Arabidopsis thaliana: one gene and its partners. The protein of the gene in region 2 interacts with the protein of the main gene of each other region in a pairwise test. Each region holds a gene or a part of one and is shown on either strand. Other genes may lie near its edges. The genes, in order: AT2G37150, UBC29, AT5G41350 and RMA2.

Region 1 (6,521 bases), 8.3 Mb from region 2:
TAATAACGGTCGACATAAAGAGATTATCATAGACATAACATCTTTTTGTATATATGCTCCTAAACATTAAGCAGTTCAAACTATACTCAAAGGCCAACCTTAGCTATGCAGAGTGGGCACAAGGAGACATCGTGCCTACATTCGATGAGTACTTGGAGATTGGTGGTGTTGAGGTGTCAATGTATGTAACTGTTTCATGCAGTTTTCTTGGGTTGGTACAAACTGCTAGAAGAAAAAGTTATGAGTGGCTTAAATCCAGACGGCCAAGTCAGTGAACGAAGTGTACTTGAAGTCAAGGAAGATAATATCAGGCGATATCTTATCACGGGCCACTAATGCTGGAAAAATGATAGATGTGACCTACAGGACCGGTGAAGAATTCACCCATCCACAAGGAAAATTCAAGGACTATATCATCTCTTTATTTGTCAATCTTATTTCTCTTTGAAGATGAAATACCATATAGTGTGAAGTGTTGTGTAACTATTTGCATCTGTAACAAATCCAGATTTTCCAAAGAGAGCCTTTTCCAATAATTAACATATATATTAACCCTTGAGAAAGATCCTGGACTTTCTTCTATTTACAACTATTAATCACTAAGAAAACTTAATGTTATATTCTGTCACATATTTTTCTTCCTTTCGAAAGACAAATGAATATAACATGCACACATAAAAGATAACCTATAATTTATGATGAGTTCTTAGAAGCATCAGGTAAAGCAGGGGATTTGCAAATAGGGCAAGAGTTCTTCATAGACAACCATTTCTTGATGCACCTCCCATGGTAGTCATGACCACACCCCTTAACTTCCCCTAACTCTTCTTTTTCCTTGTACTCCTCCTATTTGTTTACCAATTACCACATCACCCTTAAGTTAGCCTACTTCTAACTTTATAGACACATAATGTTTCAGACAACTAAATCTTACCAGGTTGTGAAAAAAAAAAAAAAAACTAAATCTTACCAGGCAGATTGCACATTTTCTTTGCTCCTCTGTTTGATATGATGGATAATACATTGTTGCTAACAAGCAACTGGAGATTGCGCTGTCGGATAGACCAGTGTTGACACTCCCAATCCTTTCTCCAAGATCAAGGAGTTCCTGCATATATATGTCAGTACCAAAACTTTTCGTTTTGCCTATGTGAGGCTTCAAAAGATAAGTGTTTGGCTATTAACCTCATAGCTCATGTTATCGATGTCAAGCCTCATGTCTCTGTGGTGATCAAGCATGTTTCTGGATCCGTAGTATTGTGGTTGGCGATCTTCAACCATGAATTCCTATTATTACATACACCCCAAAAAATAACAGATTACAGTTCAGCATGCAGCAGAAAATGATAAGATTGCAAATCTATATCTTAATATTCGATATGCACTGTATCATATCGGCTTGATCTTTATCTTAATACTAAATGTAATTTAGACAGACTTCCACTCTAAATAATGCATCTGTAAGGGAAATATATACCTCAGATGAAAACCGTTCGTGGAGAGCAACTTCATCGAAAGGAGGCTGAAACCTCTCATAGGAACTTCTGCGTCTCCCTGGCCGATCACCGCTACGCCATGAAATGTGTGGTGGTGGCCTTAAATGCCTAGACGGATAAGTCTCAGTGACCAAATGAGACCTGTCTCCAGAAGAAGATGCTACATGTCCCGATCGCGAACCGTGTGAAGAAGATCTATAGGTGGATGTTGACCTATGAGAGAAGCGGCTGCTGCTTGTAGATAGTGTTGAAGTTCCAGGAACCCCGTGGGAAACTGTAGGGTTTCTGTTTCCGGTAAGCTCATGGTGATGATAGCCGGAAGTATTAACAGATAAGCTGTTGACAACACTTCTTGCAGGAAGGAAATTATTTGTCTCTGGACTAAAGCCATTTATATCTGCAAAGTGGGAATTAATGTGATTATTAGAAACAAAGACGATTCAGATATCGAGACAAAGTGAACTTTGCATACCTCTAAGAACTGGGGACAATCTAGCACAGTTCCAGTCTTTATTTCCGTGAGATGTCTGACCAGGAAATTGACCTGAGCCATAATGATCAACACTGTGGTGGTGTGTAGAATGAGAATCAAGGCTCAAGCTTCTTGGCAAATTATTTCTACCTAAGCTGGTCTCTGAATCAAGTGTAGGACGACTCCGGACATTCCTTGAAGAGCTCTCTCCCCTGATCGAGAGATTATTACTTCTGTAAGTTGGGTTCATAAGCCATGGCATGTAATGAGGGTCATGATCATGCGTTATTGATTTTCCCAAGTGCAATTCCGAGGGGAAATGAGTGTCTGCAGGAGTTCTGTCACCGTGATATTGGCTTGAACTACCCATTTCATAGATGGAAGAAGGACATGGTCGTTTTCTCTTTTGTGCTCCTCTCACACTTTCCATAGATTGATGATCAACATAACTAGCATTTGACCATGTCTGGCTGTTGTAGCTTGAAGAAGATGCAAATGTCACATAATTCTCATGTGGAGCAGAGAAAGTTGGAACTGTTGAATTCACGGAAGGATCATGGGACGGCCCCGAAACCCCCGGATTGTAGTGTGGTCTCTCCACACTATGACCTGAGTCAGTATAAGCATTTGGTCCTGGAGAAGAGTTCCAATGAGAAGACACTGGCATTCCTTCATTCAACATGTTTTCTGCTGGATAAACATGTGATCTGTTCTCACTGGTCCCAGATGTTGCTGAGAAAATGTGGGATGGACAATAATTAATCAGAAATATGGAACATATTACCCTAAAACTAAACATGCATCATCAACCAAATTTCAATAAATAAAAAACAGATTAAGGAACTATAGAATGAAGGACTAATTACCTTGACTCGAATATGGATGTTCTGGGTGTGTATGATTCCAGCCTTGATCATGTTCATCATCAAAAAACTGGGATGAACCAAGAAAATGTCTGTGCCCCATTAAACCTGCACAAAAATTTCTCTCACCATTCAAAATCCCAGGAAAACATCCGCAAGCTCAGAAAAAAAAAAAATCTATAATTTCCAACCAACATAGTTTACTTTCAGTCTGATAGCCAAATTTCCCAAGTAAATATATAAGAAATCAGTCCATAGTTTCAAGCTCTAGTACCATTACCTTTGTAACATGTACCTACCATATTATATACCTCAGATCTCATGATATCATAAGCAAACAAGTTTTTGTGGACTTAGGCTCTGTGCTGCAGGAAAGTTCATGATGCTTATACATGAAAAATAAACCTTAATAGTACAGATCTTTTAGTTCATAAGAAAAACTTACATAGAAGAGTTTGTCAATAACAACAGACATACTTCTTTTAAACCAAAAGAAAAGAGAGGCAGAAAACAAGCACGGTTGGGAAACTAAGAAGCCTTTGCATTTAAAGTATCACTAAGGTTCTCGACTCTCCAAACCAGAGCCATCAAAAGTGAAGAGTAATACAAGGAGTTCATCAAATTACACACTTTCAAAAAGTCTATAGAATTTACAGAAAAGTCTATAGGAAACTGATTAGGAAATAGAAGAGGATGAAAGAATAAGGCACGATGGCAAATTATCATATACTGTATCCGCATAAAAGAGCATCAGAGCAAGTTCATGCAAAATAGGTAACACTTGATATCATCTTTTCAGTTTCTATCAATGTACTACTTCTTCGTTTATATTCAAGTAAAGGCCTTGTACATGTATTTCACTAAACTTACAACCATAGATGACATGAGCAAGAAAATTACATGGAAAATCCAATAGCAGGACTTAAGCTTAAAATATTTTTCTGAACCGAAACCCTCAAAAGTGCACCTGCAGGCAAATAATCCTAGAAGGATATAGGTTTAGAAAGTCCTAACCACGAATACACTACACTACCCAAGTGATAAAGCCGTCGTGCTTGATTGATCACTGATTCATCATTTCTGCACACCTTTAAAGTAGACCAACAGGAAGCAATTAGGCCCTTGACTTCACTAATACAATGAGAACACCAAATTCTATTCCTTCTCCTCTGATCCACAAATTGAATACACTACAGTTTCCTTAGATAAACGGATTTAGTCCACAAAAGTACTAGCCTGCAAAGGCTTACTACCTCATTTACTATTTCTGCGCTCTTATTGTCTTCAAACCCACCAGCACACCTTAATAGACTCCTGAATTCGGGCTTGTGTGAAAGGATGCTTTCTTAAAATTAGCATTATGTTTCACATCATTGTGCATCCAAATCAAATGCTTGTACGTGACAGCATGTCACTCTAGAAACCATTATATGATAGATGTAGTTTGTTAGGAAGATTGAAGTTCCCCACTCATGGATACCGTACCTCAAGCATCTTCAACTGACTAAACACACTCTGGTACACATGTGATGGCAGAGACTAGTTATGGTTATTTCCTTACCCCTATGGATCAGAATAACTTCTAGATGACTTGAGTTCAAGTTCGCTTTGCTTTCCCAATCAACCAAGAAGGTCCACAACACAATCCGCAAATCAGAATACATCAAGGATAGGCCAGCCACCAATCCTAATGGGCTAACATGAGGAACTAACATCTGTTTGAAATGTGTTATCAATGCAATTTCTTTAAGAATGATGCCATAATTTCAAAGTTTCTAAAAGTTCTCAAAGAGGAAGATGAATTCTGACCTGAAACTATAGCCGTACTAGTTCTCAAATCTTCCAAACACTTGAATCACTGATTAGGCTTTTCTCCAGTTTCTCAACTACCAGAGGTTCGTGGTGGAGAAAGGTATGATAGAACTAGAAACCACCATTGCCACTAAACCTGCAGCCTGCAGGATACAAACCAGCTAAGCCTAGGTTATGCTAATACACTATATCCCAAACTAGCTTACCCGCATCGCTGAAGTAGCAGCCTGAACAACATTATCAACAGCTAACCAAAACACAAAGCTTACAACATCTCCTCTAATCACCGAGCTGGTCTCTTCTCAGTATCGGAATCTTAAAAAGCTAACAACTACGTGAAAGAGAACAAATTCGAAGTCTGAAATTATCAGAACCGACTCCGGTTAACGGACATGATCGCGATCATACCCGAAGATTGTGGGAAAAGTCACCGATGTAGCAGCAAAACCGGGAATAAACCGGATTAAACCGAAAAAAAGAAACAATCCATCATCACACAATCACAAGAGAAAAAAGGAAACAACGATCGGCTTGTTTATACATACCAACACGAAATAATCAGCTCAACGGCGAAACAACAATAATGATCGGAGAAATGAGAAACATTACCAAAGCGTTCCGGCGATGAGAAAAGAAGACCGATCGGAGAAAAGCAAAGAGACGTATGGATTCGTATAGATGACGCAACCTTTTATGAAAAAGAGGTTTTAGAGAGAGAAATATGTTTTGAAGACAAATTGCTTTCTTTTTTGGTGATGGTTGAGCGATGAAGAGTATCGGTTTATATTTAAGAAAAATCAAATTAAAGCGGTTGAGTTACGACGTTGCCGGGACATTAATCCCTTCTCTGACCAACTTCACCGGCTACCGGTAAAACCCGTTCACTGTCTTATTGTCGACTAAACAATTTATTAATTAACTATGGTTCTTCAGTAATGGGCCTATATTTTTGGACTGTACTTGGGCCTCAGCTGTACGTATCAAAAGGGTTCGAGAAACTCAGAGATTAAAGGGATCTTGACCGTTGATCGAGATGACTTTGATTTTATCCATTAATAGTCAATTTGATTGATGAGTTAAGAGGATGATTAAGAAAGCAATAAAGGAAGCGAATCGGAATCCACATTGTATTAATCTTTTTGATCCAGTAGCCATTGGCGAATCCAGGAGTATTAAAGTTCCATTTTGATTTTGGCGACGATGATGAACAGAGTTTAGAGAAATTTGCATTGAAGAAGAGAAGATTTTTGGATTTTGTGTAGTGGGAGAAGGGTAAACCCTAGCTTGGGAGGGACATGATCGGATGCTCTAAGTAGCTTGTGAATTAGAGAAAGAGCAAGTGAGCAAATATGATGAACACTTCGAATGGGATGATCTCTGGGCCTTCTTCTTCGTCAGCTTCGGCGGCGAATCCTCAGTCTCCGGGAATCAAAACGTATTTCAAGACGCCTGAAGGAAAGTACAAGCTCCACTACGAGAAGACGCATCCCTCTGGGCTTCTTCACTACACTCATGGCAAAACCGTTACTCAGGTGAAGATTTGATTCGTTTTCTTTGGTGTTTATTTTTGAATTGAAAGTTTAATCCAATCTGATTTCTTTGCACTTGTGATTGCTATTACGAAATTGCTATTAGGTTTTGTGTAAGAATATCAAATGCACATTTCATTTTTATGTTTTGAAAGTGGTTTCTGAGAATGGATTTGTGAAATTTTGGTGTCAGGTTACTCTAGCTCACCTTAAGGATAAACCTGCTCCATCGACACCAACTGGGACCTCGTCAAGTTCCACAGCTAGTAGCGGTTTCCGGTCAGCAACAGCAAGGTTATTGGGTGGTGGGAATGGTAACCGTGCGCTTAGTTTTGTTGGAGGTAATGGA
Region 2 (3,606 bases):
ATCCATTCTATTTTGCAATAATTTAACTATATATTTCATGAAAATATACTGAATTTTAATTCTATATATTTCATTTTAATGGATAAGAGCTGAAAAAATATTTCTACATATTTCATCTTCGTGTTTTAATTCTTTATGATATTTAAATTTTAAATAGTAACCCACACACGTTTTCAATATTTAGTGTTCTAACTCTTATTTCAATCTATCTATTCTCCAAAAATATCGTTAGATAACGTAAGTTATTTTTGTTGTTTACTAAATAACTAGGCTTAAACTTTAAATATTAGTAACTTGTCCTAAATTTTTTACACAAACATGACTATAATTAATTCTCATTTATCTTTGATACTATTGAGTTTTCCCATTATAACCTTTATCTATGCATCTCACTATTTTATGTGTTGTTTGAAATCTATATTTTAGAGTTATTTTAACAAAATAAAAAGAAAAATAACAAAAATTTCGACAAAATACACAAAAAAACATATTTGAACGGTCCTTTAAAAAAAACAAATTCGCTAATAATATGAATTATTTTATTATATAAAATATAATTAAATTTTTTGATTATATAAATAATTTTTGTGATTTATGTATATATTTTATTTTCCCGATAGGGTTAGAAGATTTTTTATATATTAACAAAATTAGATTTAATACATGTCGATATCTCATCAATCATATGAGTTAACAACTTTGAAAACTCTACTTTATATATTATATATGTTTGTATTAAAATTATAACAATTTCTTCTTCTTCTTTTTTTATTACAAATAAGACCAAACCAAAATAAAAAGGAAAAAAAGAGGAATTGTGAGCTTTAAAACAAGGCATACTTCTGGGTCCAGCTTCGAGCCATGGCTTCATATTTGGTCTTGTCAGTTTTGTATATGTGAGCTATCTCTGGCACCAGAGGGTCGTCAGGGTTTGGATCTGTTAGAAGAGAGCATATAGAGAGAAGCACCTATAATACCAAAATGTTAGTAATTTGTGTTACCTATTGGAGCTTCTTGGTTATATACCAAATCTGATATATGGAATTATAGAAAATATTGACAAATAACTAAATACATATATAGAATTTCAAACCTTAGAAATGGTAAGGGCAGGGCTCCATTGGTCTTTGAGAATGTCCAAACATATGTTTCCATTACTGTTGATGTTTGGGTGAAACACTTTGGTTCTGAATACAACCTGATTTTATCAAACAAACATAACAACAAGAGTAAAGAAGAAGAAAAAGATTGAAAATAAAGATCAAAACTTAAGGTTCCAAAAGATCATAAACGATCCAATATTTAATGTTGGTTTTGTGCCTTTTGGTTATTGGATTTAAGAAGTAGATTAAAAAACAAAAAAATTGTTGAGAAAGTTGTTACCTTGGGAGGTTTAAAAGGATAATCAGGAGGGAAATGAATATTGACAAGGAAAACACCTCCGGAGTAAGGACTTTCATTCGGACCCATTATAGTAGCTTGCCAGTGGAACATATCTTCTCCTGTTGGACCTAAAAATCCCAAACCAAGGAGAAAGGAAATATCAAAATCTTTAGAAAAAATTTCTGATACATGGCTTATATTGTATTAAGAACAAATTGTGATCCTTTACCTGCACTGCATGATACAGGAGGGTCTCTTTGCAACTCCTTCAATTCTTTCAATATCCGTCTCGTTGCCATCAGGTTGCTGAGTGTTTGATATAATGGAAAGTAGCACTACAAAGAAGTATGTGAAAAAAAATATGAGTGGTTTGTGAAGAGAAGGAGAATGAGAGTTGTGTTTTTAAAGCGTGAACCGTAAGCAAAGATTTGTGATTCTCTTGCAAACAGGAATGCTTGCACTATTGCATTTATCATTGTTTAAGTAAAGATTTACCATTGTAAAGTCTCTTTTTAGCCGCCCGCTTTGCCCATAAAGGTAATGGAGAAAGATCCATTCTTTTGTTCTGATTCTGAAAGAGAGACGTGCCTTGAAGTGGATGGTCTTACGTACATGCTTACTGTAATATACCATATCTATTGAACGGTCTATAATGGGATTTGATAAAGTCTGAGAATCAGAATAACTTAACATAAAGAATGGTTATTACAATATCCTTTGTTCTTAATCTTATTGTCCACGTTCACTGGACCAGCAAAGTGATGGGTGATGAGCATCATGTTCAACAAATATAATCATAAATCATAACATACATTTGATGAGGTAAAATAGTTATTGAAAACTTATAGGACCCATTTCAAAAGTTTCTTAAGATTATAGGCCCATGTATCATTAGGAAAAAAAATTATAGGCCCTATTTACATACTTTAAAATTTTACAATAAAAAATTTACAAATCAGAGTGGCGTCGAGTGAGGAACACTCCACAAATCAGTGATGCATATATTATTTCCTTATTTTAAAGATTTATATCACAACATATCGTAGAGATCGTCATTGATCAACCTATATATGTAAATGTAAATCATTGCCTTTCAATCTAAGTATAACCTTCAAGCCTCTGTTTATTTCAGACTTATTAGGTCTTTTGAATATTGCTATAAGAAGAAACTCCACAGCTGTTAGTCCAAAGTTAATGTACATGCATGCTACGTGATTTGCCCAACCGATATTTTATGATGGTGATTACGGGAGGAAAATAATTCTCAACAATAGTTGGTCTCGATTTTTTAAAAGACGATTAATTGATTACTTAAAAAAATAGCCATTTTTTTTGTAACAAATGTTGTTTGCTTTGCTTTCAATCTTCAACCACACGGTCAACACATTTATGTATTTTACGTAAAAGAAGCATACCAAAGCTTTTACAATTTTTGCCGTTATGATATTTAAAGTTAGAAATAAGCTAAAGGTTTAAACGATGATAATCCAAATTACAGCAAAAAAATTTACTCAACTTGTAGACAAAGAATAATAACTAGATAACAGGTTACACAAATTTTTGTTAGATCTCTCATGGATTTAATCCACATTTCCACAATTAAAGAAGAACCAAAAGTGGTGTTTATAATGAACATAATAAAATAAAATAAAATCATTGGTTTCGTATGAACCATTTTTTTTTGGTGTAATACGCACCTTCTCAACATAAGCATTGGCTCACATTTCTTTTTGGTGGTGATTGAGAGAAGTCATTGTGTGTATACCCGCCAAATTAGGCTCTTCAACCAAAAACCTTAAAATTAGAAAATTCAACGAAAACAAAATGAAAGGAGGAAATAAGGAAATAAAAGGGAGAGTTATTGGAAGTTTTATTTACAAACAAAATGTGGAATCTCAAATTGAGAATACGTGAATTTCTCTGAAACCTTATGTTCTCTGCGAAACATTCTCTTATTTCATTTTCTTTCTCTAAAGTTTTTATTTCTCTGACAAGGAAGATATCCCTTTAGGTGGATTCTTGTTTAAATTTAAAAATCCTCAAGAAGAAGAAGAAGAAGAAGAAGATAGTCAAATGAAAATACATTCTTCTGATCATTCATGGCTTTTACTAGCCGTTCTCGTGATTCTCCTCTCCTTCTCTGGAGCTCTCTCAAGCGATGACAAAGAGAAGAAGACGAAATCGGTCGATAAAAAGAAAGAAGTAACTTATGATGGAACGTCT
Region 3 (4,931 bases), on a different chromosome or scaffold from region 2:
TATTCGTTGTTCGCTTATGTTTATCTGATTTTATTATTTTTAAAGTTTTCAATTTTGTTAAATTTAATTTTTCATTTAAACCAATGGCGTGACAAAAAAACCTCTATTTTATACTGTTTTACACAGTAATGGTCACTCAAAACGCTTTTCTGGCGCGTTGAAGTTGTTGGTCGACAAAAATAGTTGGATGGTCATGCCCGATTACAGTCTAAAAACATGAATCTGTATAAGTATTTAACTAGAAAAAACAAATTAGACAGGAAATTTTTTAAAAAATAAAAATATTTGTCCAATATACCATTAGCATGATTCACTATAATTAGCAACTATTCATCTGTCACTTACTCACTTGTGACAAATATTATTTATTAAACAAAGCAATGACTAATATTGCATCTACATGTAACAATATCATTTACTAGATAAGTCTCATTTAATTTGACGTACTCATGTAAGTAAGATGTACGACAATACGACATCACATATTCAACTAATGAGACAACTAAACAAACCAAGTTTCGAAAATGTGAAGAACTAAGAAATCTAAAACATAAACACTACAAACTAGTAAGTATAAACAATTTTCATATTACATATCACAGAACAACATAAAGAAAATAAATAAGCACTAAACCAAACTAAAATCGAACCGTAATAAACCCAATCCATACATAACAAACTCTCAATTTCAGTTTGATTAATATTTTTCTTAAACTCAAGAAAAAACTGAATCAAACCCAAATTGAAACCCCAGCTTTAAAACACTCCTAAAATAACCTATAAACAAGAATTACCAAAATTAAAACATCTAGAAGAAAAATTATCAGTTTTGTCTCGTTTTTTATTCACAGAAGTGAATCTAAAGCACAAACTCTAATTCTTAATCTCCGTTTTTTTGTAGACGATTTGAAACGTCTGTACACAAACATATGTATATCAACACTGACATGTTTCGTAAATCCAACTTTGTGATCAGCTATTAGTGTATTCTTACCCATTTTTTCTTTTTAAGTTTTTCTCTTGTTCTCCAATTTCTTTCTTCTGATACAGAGAGAATTGAGCCTTCTAAGATGCGGCATTTGCGGGTTGCTAGTCAAGAGTAGAGTCAAATACCATTTCCTGCAGAACAAACGGATCCTCTCAGACATATCCCGGGAATTAAAATGAATTTGTAAACAAGCTAAATTGGAACTACTCATTATTTACGGTTTACTTAGAGATTAGAGTTTTTCGACATACACCAAAGAGAAGTGAATAAAAGAATGTACCTTGTTGCAGACGGGGCAGGTTTCACTTCTCTCCATCCATTCTAGAATGCATGCAAGGTGAAAATGGTGATCACATTTGGCTACAAGTTTCGGGTTCTCGATATCATATTCTGAATCAAAAGCACAGACAATATAATAAATAACCCATTCTCGCAGTCATGTAAGGTACGATTATGTTTATATGTTTTTGAGATGTGGGAAAGGCAAACAAGCTTTTACCTTCCAAACATATGGGACAATCCTCCTCTTCCTCTATTGGTATAAAAACAGCTTTTGATAGCTTCGGGTCTATTTCTTCAGTAGATTCAAGATCAATCTCTGTTTGGATTTTGCTATCTGTCTCTTTATGTGAGCATGTAGTTGGAACCCCGAGAGTAATACCATCAACTGTTTCTTGAGCAGACTCGGTATTAGCAGAGTCCACCGAAACCTCTCTTATATCAACACAAGTAGCCTCTTCACCACTAGCTGGTGTTTGAGGAATCCCTATAGGCACATCGAAAGGGGTAGGCAGTGGCGGTGGTATATAAGCATCAGGAGATGATGTCTCTAAGTTTGTGTCTACTACTACAACACCAGTAGAGATTGCAGAGGAAGTCCTGTTATGAGCGGAAGATAAAGGCACACGCTCTTCTGTTGCCCTTGGGTACTGCAAAATACAAGTCATAAAACAAGTTATATTCCCATATGAATCTCGAAGCCCGTTGGGGCTTTTAACTCATTTAGTGTCCTGAAGCACATCAAGATTGATTTATTTGCAGCCTATCAAAGCAAGGACACCCAAAAAAAACGAGGAAGTGGGAGAAGTATCAGACTAACGTAGTAGTACGCAGGTCCATTATCTACATCAGCTCTTCGTGAAGAAGAACAACAACAGCAACCTCCCATCTCTTCTTCTCTTTTTTTTTTTTTCTGTTTTACAAAAACTACAAAACCCGAAGACTCTTCATCTATGCTAACCTACAAGATATGTGAAGAAACAAATTACATTCTGAGATCAGTAGGAGAATATTTATCATCTATATGCAAGAAACTCAAACAAGCTTTATCGTTTTCGATATCAGTTTGAGCTGTCTACTAAAGTCTGATCAGACTCATCATGCTAGTAGCAACAATAAAACAATTCAGCTACTAACAGTTCAAATTCACTCTCAATAATCAAAGATACAATAAACATCAACCATTAAAATCGAGACAACAGTGTTGCGACTACAAGCCTATGTGAATCTCCTACAATTCTCATTCTCTTTAGCACCATCTACACACAATTGCAATAAATTCAAATCAGTTTTACACTAAACCCCAAAAACTTAAAACAATTCTACTCAGAATTTAACTCCAACACAAACAATGAATCCACAAAAAGAACCAAAGCTCCATTAAGAGCAAGCTAATCCGTAAAACCCTAAACCGAAACTTATAAAAGCAACAATAAACATCAGAATTCTCAGAATCTAGCATAAACACATAGGAGAAATACGGATCAAAACAGTAAAAAAAAAACCCACAGAATTTCACACAAAAATCAAGCTCAAAACCTAAAGAAAAGCGATCACTAGCAAGAACAAACACCAAAGAAGAACCGATCATCTTCTCGAGATTGAATCAGAGAAGAGGAATTAAAAATCTCAAAATCATAGAGAGAATTTTACTTTTTGTTCTTGGGGGAAGCTTTTTTTGTTTTGTCTTCGTCTTTCTCTGCTTCTGTGCTTTTTGCGGTGCTGTGTTTATCGTGCGCTCTATCAAAATGACTTTCCTAAGAAATTACAAAGACTCTTTTTGGGCTCAATATTATATTTACTTACCTGATTTATTAAATTCATTAATACAATTATTAATTAGCTGATTAATTATTTTATTTTTTCCGTTACAATGTATTTTTCAAAATTTCAATAATGAAATTACATAACTGAAAATCGGCTGAAAAGTGTCGACCAAAAAATTATAAATTGGGAAGTACCATTTTCAGTAAAATTATTACTATTTTTTTTCCGGCAAATAATTTATCGATGTTTAAAAAAGAAACATGGGCTCAAACTTAAGAATAAAGCCCATTTAAAGAATCCTATTAAAAGCCCATATTTGATCTGTTACTGCAGCCTTTATATATGAATCGTGTTCTTACGTTTCTGCTTAACAATTTCCTTCCTCCGCTTCAAACGAGTCACCGACTCGACACAGGAATCCGAATTCGCCGGAGACGCAGCTTGCTTCGTTGAATAGCTTACAACGGGAAATTACCACGAAGACGGTTGTATATTCCCTCCGTCGTACAATTTAGGTTATGTGCGAATTCACAAATTGAAAATACAAGAGAAACAATCCCTAAAATCGATTTGATTAAGAGGAGCGAAAAGAAGAAAATCAATATGGGAAACGGTAATGGTCTCGAATCTCGATCGTACTGAGTTTTGATTCGTTTATTGAATTATCCGGTGAAAAGAGTATGCTAATACTGGGGAAAATGTTGATGTTTAGATGAAAGAAAACGACCTACAAAGAAGATGAAGTACGGTGGGAAGGTTCGTGTTGATTCTTCTCCACATGACTTTTTTTATTTATTAGGCTCTTCACTTCTAGTTAGTGTAATTGTACTGTAAAAATCTCAGGATGATCAAAAGATGAAGAACATACAAAACGTTGAAGATTACTATGATGATGCTGATGAGGATTCTCGTGATGGTAATATTGATTACTCTCGTATAATTAACATAGATACATTGGGAACAAAATTGAAATAGAATTTATAATGGTTTTTAAAGGTGAAGGAGAGGAGAAGAGGAGAGATTTTACTGATTTGGAGTTGAAGCCGGATCATGGAAATAGGCCTTTGTGGGCTTGTGCTGATGGAAAGATTTTCTTGGAGACATTTTCTCCTCTCTATAAACAAGCTTATGACTTTCTTATCGCCATTGCTGAACCCGTTTGCAGGTTTGATTTTGATTTGATTATTATATCAATGTACAAGTTATGATTTTTGTTGTTGATTTTCATTCATTTGTTACTATTTCAGGCCTGAGTCAATGCACGAGTATAATTTAACCCCACACTCGTTGTATGCTGCTGTTTCCGTTGGTCTTGAGACAGAAACTATCATCTCTGTTTTGAATAAGCTATCTAAGACCAAGCTACCCGGGGAGATCATTGATTTCATCCATGCTTCTACTGCTAATTATGGGAAAGTGAAGTTGGTATTGAAGAAAAATCGGTATTTTATTGAATCACCATTCCCGGAGGTAAGTTCACCAGACTGATCCTCTTTCTCTAGTTATGCGTATGGGATTTTTGTGTAGTTTCTCTGTTGGTTTTGCTCACTCGTTAAATATAAACAATCTTAGGTGTTGAAAAGGCTTCTCAGTGATGATGTCATAAATCGAGCAAGATTTACTTCTGAGGTATGTTGAACTCCTCAATTTAGTGCTTTATGTTTACTATTACTGGATGGAAATACATACCATGATCTGTTGTTCTCAACAGTTTTTGCATCTTTTGATACCAATGCGGCAGAGAGATCTATCCTGATTCTCTTGGGGCTATTGGTTTCGTGTTTAAATTCTAATTTTTTCTTGAACTATTTAATAGATAAATAAACTCATTATCCTTCTTTTTAAACTCCTTGGTTCATTGAATGTGAAATTGATATCTCTTATACCATTGTATTCT
Region 4 (3,941 bases), on a different chromosome or scaffold from region 2:
CGAACTTTTTAAAACCTATAAGAAGTGGAAATAGGCAAATTAAATTAAAACTTTTGCAGATAGAAAAAATCGATCCCATGAATGAGGGATTGTCTCGATCGGACCCGACCCATAAGGCCATGAACTCATCTCATACTAGTCTATGCTTTTAATGAAACCAGCTCACTCCAATCACTTTACCAATTTTCTTTGCAACATTTTTAATGTATAAAGAAAGACTCGTACTGCAAATTAATGTTTCTACTTCTTTATCTAACAGTCGTATTCGATTCGCCGTTATCAATCAAATCTAGGGCCCCCTATTCTCACTTTTTTTTTTCTTTTTTTTTGTAAAAGTTGGTTTGGTTTTAAACGATTGTAATCCGACATAAGCAACACCATTTGCGTCGCATTCGAATGCCACTATCAGCTTTTTTGGAGCACAAATCTATTTGAGTTGAAGATAAGCCTCCTTTTTAACCCATGCTCTCATCTTCCCACATCATCCCATGATATATCGAATAAAGAAGAAGCCATTTGGTGTCGTTTCTTTCTTTGGACGTTATTATATGCTCATCATACAATTTCAACGATTCAAGACTCTTAAAAATATACAAATTGTTATTACATATATGCATACTCATTCCAATTGGTATATTATATACACATATATATTATAATTAGAAGAGAAATAGACACATAAACATGAAGCAAAGTAGAAACAAGTAGACTCTGCTTAATGACTCCTCAGCCTGCATTGCCCGTCGCCTAGACCGGACATTCATATCGCGGTAAGGTGCCATGTTGCTCGAAGACTCTCCAAATAGTCTCCGGTATACCATTTCGCATACCACACCCATCACCGGATCAGGCATTCTATACATGTAACGTTGACTCTCCCCTTCTCCTAAACGTTGACCAACTCCTCTTAAGTCATAAACCGGACCAGTTGGTCTGCTCGGTACATTTGAACCGGACTGGGGAGCTTTCTGTCCTCGTCCGTAGATCGGGACAAGCGTAGCCTCGGAGACATCAGATTTGCATACCGGACATTTTGGTGGTTCCCTCTTATGATCGTATTGATCGACTCGTTGTCTTGAATTGTTGGACGCATAAGTCCACTTGTGAATGCAGGGCCAACAAAACAGGTGGCCACATAAAGTCACGACCGGGTCTCGAACCTGATCCAAACATATGTTGCAGTCGAAGTCTCCTCCAGAATCAACCAATGTTGTGTCGTCCTCATCCTTCTCAATCTCCATTTTACTAAAACATACAAGACAAACAACCATTCACTTGACCAGTCGTTGTTTATTTAATGAGATTTCACCTAAATAAGTAAATAGTAAATACTAAAGTCTAATTCCAATTAGAGATTTATAAAATCAATGATACTTCATAGAAACAAGAAATATCATCAAAATATGAAGATCAATATAGATTATAACAGAATTGTTGTGTATATACTTAGCATGATCGATCTTGAATTTAAAACTTACACTAACCAAAAAAAAAAAAGAAGAAGATTAGACGCAAAAAAGTAAGGATCATATTCTTTAACAAGTTGAAGTTACGAAGACTTGACCTAATCACTTTCTGTTTCCGACGCTTTGCTCTGTTTTCACTTAATCCCAAAGCACGTTATTGTTTAAGAAAAAAAGCTAAATAATTAAAGACAAAGGAGTGGTTGATTAAACAAACAAGTGATATTATGATCCTTTAAAAAATGACATGGTATATCGAAAACAATCATCTTCTTGCGTAGCAACTCAAAAACGGTGCAGATCTACTACTAATTCGATGCCTTTAGATAGACACACGCAACAATATATAATAAGAGTGATGATTCCAGAAAAAAGAAACGTACTCTTTGGAAAGATTGTAAGTACCGATGGATCTCTTCTGTCTTTAAGCCTTTGGAAACTTGAGAGAGCTTGTACAGGTTCATGCGACAATGGCAGAAGAACAGAGAAAATGATTTATTTGGGTTAAGAGAATGGGGTAAGAATGTTTAGATCGAGGGTGGTGCAGAAGCAGGAGACCTTATTATACACACATACACAATTATTTTTATTCTTATTTTCTTAAGGTGTGCAAAATTAAAATCCGGACAAGTTATGATTTTAAAGAGGAAGAAACGTCTACCTAATTAAAAATAAGTAGATAAAGTAACGAAACGCCATTCATCTTTTTTTTCTTACATGTCTGTCTTTATTTCATGAAAAGGTCAGCAACGGATAGCATCGTTTTAAAAAAAAGTAAACAAGATAATATAATTATTTATACACAACTAAATATATATTTATAGAAAAATATTTATTTTAGTTTGAATAAAATTGTATGTTGAAAAAAAAGTATGAATTGGAAATATGCCCTAATGAGTCCATGAGACCATGACTTTTGTAGGGGAAATATACACAGAAATTGCAAAATTCCCCCATAACTTTATCCCAATATCATATTCATAAGATAAGAATTTGGCTCTGAAAAAAACAAAAGATAAGAATTTGGCAGTTTCTGTTTCTGGCAACACAATAGTAGATACTGAACCAAGCTCGATGACGTGGCACTCCATGGCTGCACCGTTACTCCATCAAATTCACTTGAAAAAAAAAACAAAAAAAAAATGCTAGTAATTTTGAAAATTCTGCTTATTTTGGTACTTTACTTTTTTTTTTATGGAAATTGTAACTATTAGGTGTTGAGTGAATAACAATGGCAATTTGGTAAGTTGTTTATTCAAAGTTGGAACTGGAGAATACTAAGTTTGCGACTAAAGCCTTAATCAAAGGCCTTATCAACCAATAGTTGAATTAGTTTATAGACCACAAAGATAATTAGGTTACACGTCACGGAAGCAAGGAGCTATTGGTGTCACCAGACCATAGTATTTAATTTCAAGTCTATTAATTGTAGAAGGCAACCCAAAATCCACTCCTTGAAATAATAAAACACTGTCTTAAATTCGTATTTGTTGAGTCCTTCACCACCATTATGTCTGATTCTGCTTATATACAAATTTAAGTAAGGTTGTTAGACGGTTCATGTCTCCGAATCTTTGATCAATTGTAAAGTGTAATGTAAAATAGTTTTTTTTTTTTTTAATTTTAAATTTGCGACTACTATATCTAAAAGTCTACTATCAACTACAACTTCACTTGTAAATTGTAATACTCTCGAATAGATCATTTTTGATGAAACAAGTTAGACAATCATCCAAAATTAATCACCAATTTGAGTGCCTCCGAATTTATTCACAATATTCATTATTGAAAAGCATTTTTGGATATGGCCAACCAATAAAATGAAAATTGAACTTTAAAAAAAAAAAACTACTATACCAACAATGTAAAAACAATGTGTGTGTTCACCATCATTAGAACAAGATCTACTCAATGTTTTAAATGTATATATAATATGTTTTGCGCAAAAAAACGTATATGTAATATTATATATATCACGTTCATGATAATGTTTTCAAATTCTCATATGAAATTATTGGAGCAAGTTGCATTTACGATCCGGAGAACTGAGCCAAGAAATGGGCGGTTCTCAATTTATTATGGGTATTATTAACCAGTGGTGGTTGAACCAAAATTAATCTATTCATTTTCTCTATCAAACTTTTTGTTACTTTGATGGTTTGTCTCAATCGATTAAAATAGTAACTAGTTATTTTGTTTTGGCATGTCACTGAATTGATGTTGTTTCTTCTAATTTATGATCCGCTATATCCGCAGCATTTTTCTCTCCTCCTATAACTCTAATGGAAACAGGAAAAAGAAAAAACAAGAAACGATTAGAAACTCAAATGTGACAAAAAGTCAAAAAATAGAGGAGGAAACAAAAACATGAAGATTACTCATCATTGTTTGGTTTCTCTTCTCTCTATCCTCCTTTTGTCTGGATTCGCTTTCTCTCATCACATCTCTCGTAAATTACAATTATCTAATACTTTTACT

What was found.
Region 1: the proteins of UBC29 (region 2) and AT2G37150 interact in a two-hybrid assay, tested with the Arabidopsis thaliana proteins (one large-scale study listed by BioGRID).
Region 3: the proteins of UBC29 (region 2) and AT5G41350 interact in a two-hybrid assay, tested with the Arabidopsis thaliana proteins (one large-scale study listed by BioGRID).
Region 4: the proteins of UBC29 (region 2) and RMA2 interact in a two-hybrid assay, tested with the Arabidopsis thaliana proteins (one large-scale study listed by BioGRID).

Annotation. Positions count from the first base shown.
Region 1 is NC_003071.7:15,603,055-15,609,575, forward strand, and holds AT2G37150 (RING/U-box superfamily protein), read right to left. Parts: upstream 4,547-6,521; coding exon 4,393-4,546; exon of another isoform or gene 3,155-4,392; coding exon of another isoform or gene 3,112-3,154; exon of another isoform or gene 2,940-3,111; coding exon 2,835-2,939; intron 2,701-2,834; coding exon 1,969-2,700; intron 1,894-1,968; coding exon 1,478-1,893; intron 1,288-1,477; coding exon 1,186-1,287; intron 1,109-1,185; coding exon 971-1,108; intron 847-970; coding exon 694-846; 3' UTR 527-693; downstream 1-526. Other genes in the region: AT2G37140 (Terpenoid synthases superfamily protein), read left to right, coding at 72-275; AT2G37160 (Transducin/WD40 repeat-like superfamily protein), read left to right, coding at 5,993-6,175, 6,279-6,521.
Region 2 is NC_003071.7:7,265,956-7,269,561, reverse strand, and holds UBC29 (ubiquitin-conjugating enzyme 29), read right to left. Parts: upstream 1,841-3,606; 5' UTR 1,683-1,840; coding exon 1,613-1,682; intron 1,512-1,612; coding exon 1,384-1,511; intron 1,199-1,383; coding exon 1,094-1,198; intron 969-1,093; coding exon 825-968; 3' UTR 507-824; downstream 1-506. Other genes in the region: AT2G16730 (glycosyl hydrolase family 35 protein), read left to right, coding at 3,457-3,606. UniProt on the Arabidopsis thaliana protein: Accepts the ubiquitin from the E1 complex and catalyzes its covalent attachment to other proteins.
Region 3 is NC_003076.8:16,540,937-16,545,867, forward strand, and holds AT5G41350 (RING/U-box superfamily protein), read right to left. Parts: upstream 3,037-4,931; 5' UTR 2,453-3,036; coding exon 2,450-2,452; intron 2,276-2,449; exon of another isoform or gene 2,229-2,275; coding exon 2,088-2,228; intron 1,918-2,087; coding exon 1,488-1,917; intron 1,379-1,487; coding exon 1,269-1,378; intron 1,120-1,268; coding exon 1,090-1,119; 3' UTR 526-1,089; downstream 1-525. Other genes in the region: XPB2 (homolog of Xeroderma pigmentosum complementation group B 2), read left to right, coding at 3,638-3,647, 3,747-3,790, 3,878-3,950, 4,031-4,199, 4,282-4,504, 4,607-4,663.
Region 4 is NC_003075.7:14,006,955-14,010,895, forward strand, and holds RMA2 (RING membrane-anchor 2), read right to left. Parts: upstream 2,334-3,941; 5' UTR 1,847-2,333; intron 1,246-1,846; 5' UTR 1,242-1,245; coding exon 660-1,241; 3' UTR 521-659; downstream 1-520. Other genes in the region: LLG3 (LORELEI-LIKE-GPI ANCHORED PROTEIN 3), read left to right, coding at 3,831-3,912. UniProt on the Arabidopsis thaliana protein: E3 ubiquitin-protein ligase that promotes the ubiquitination and proteasomal degradation of the auxin-binding protein ERABP1.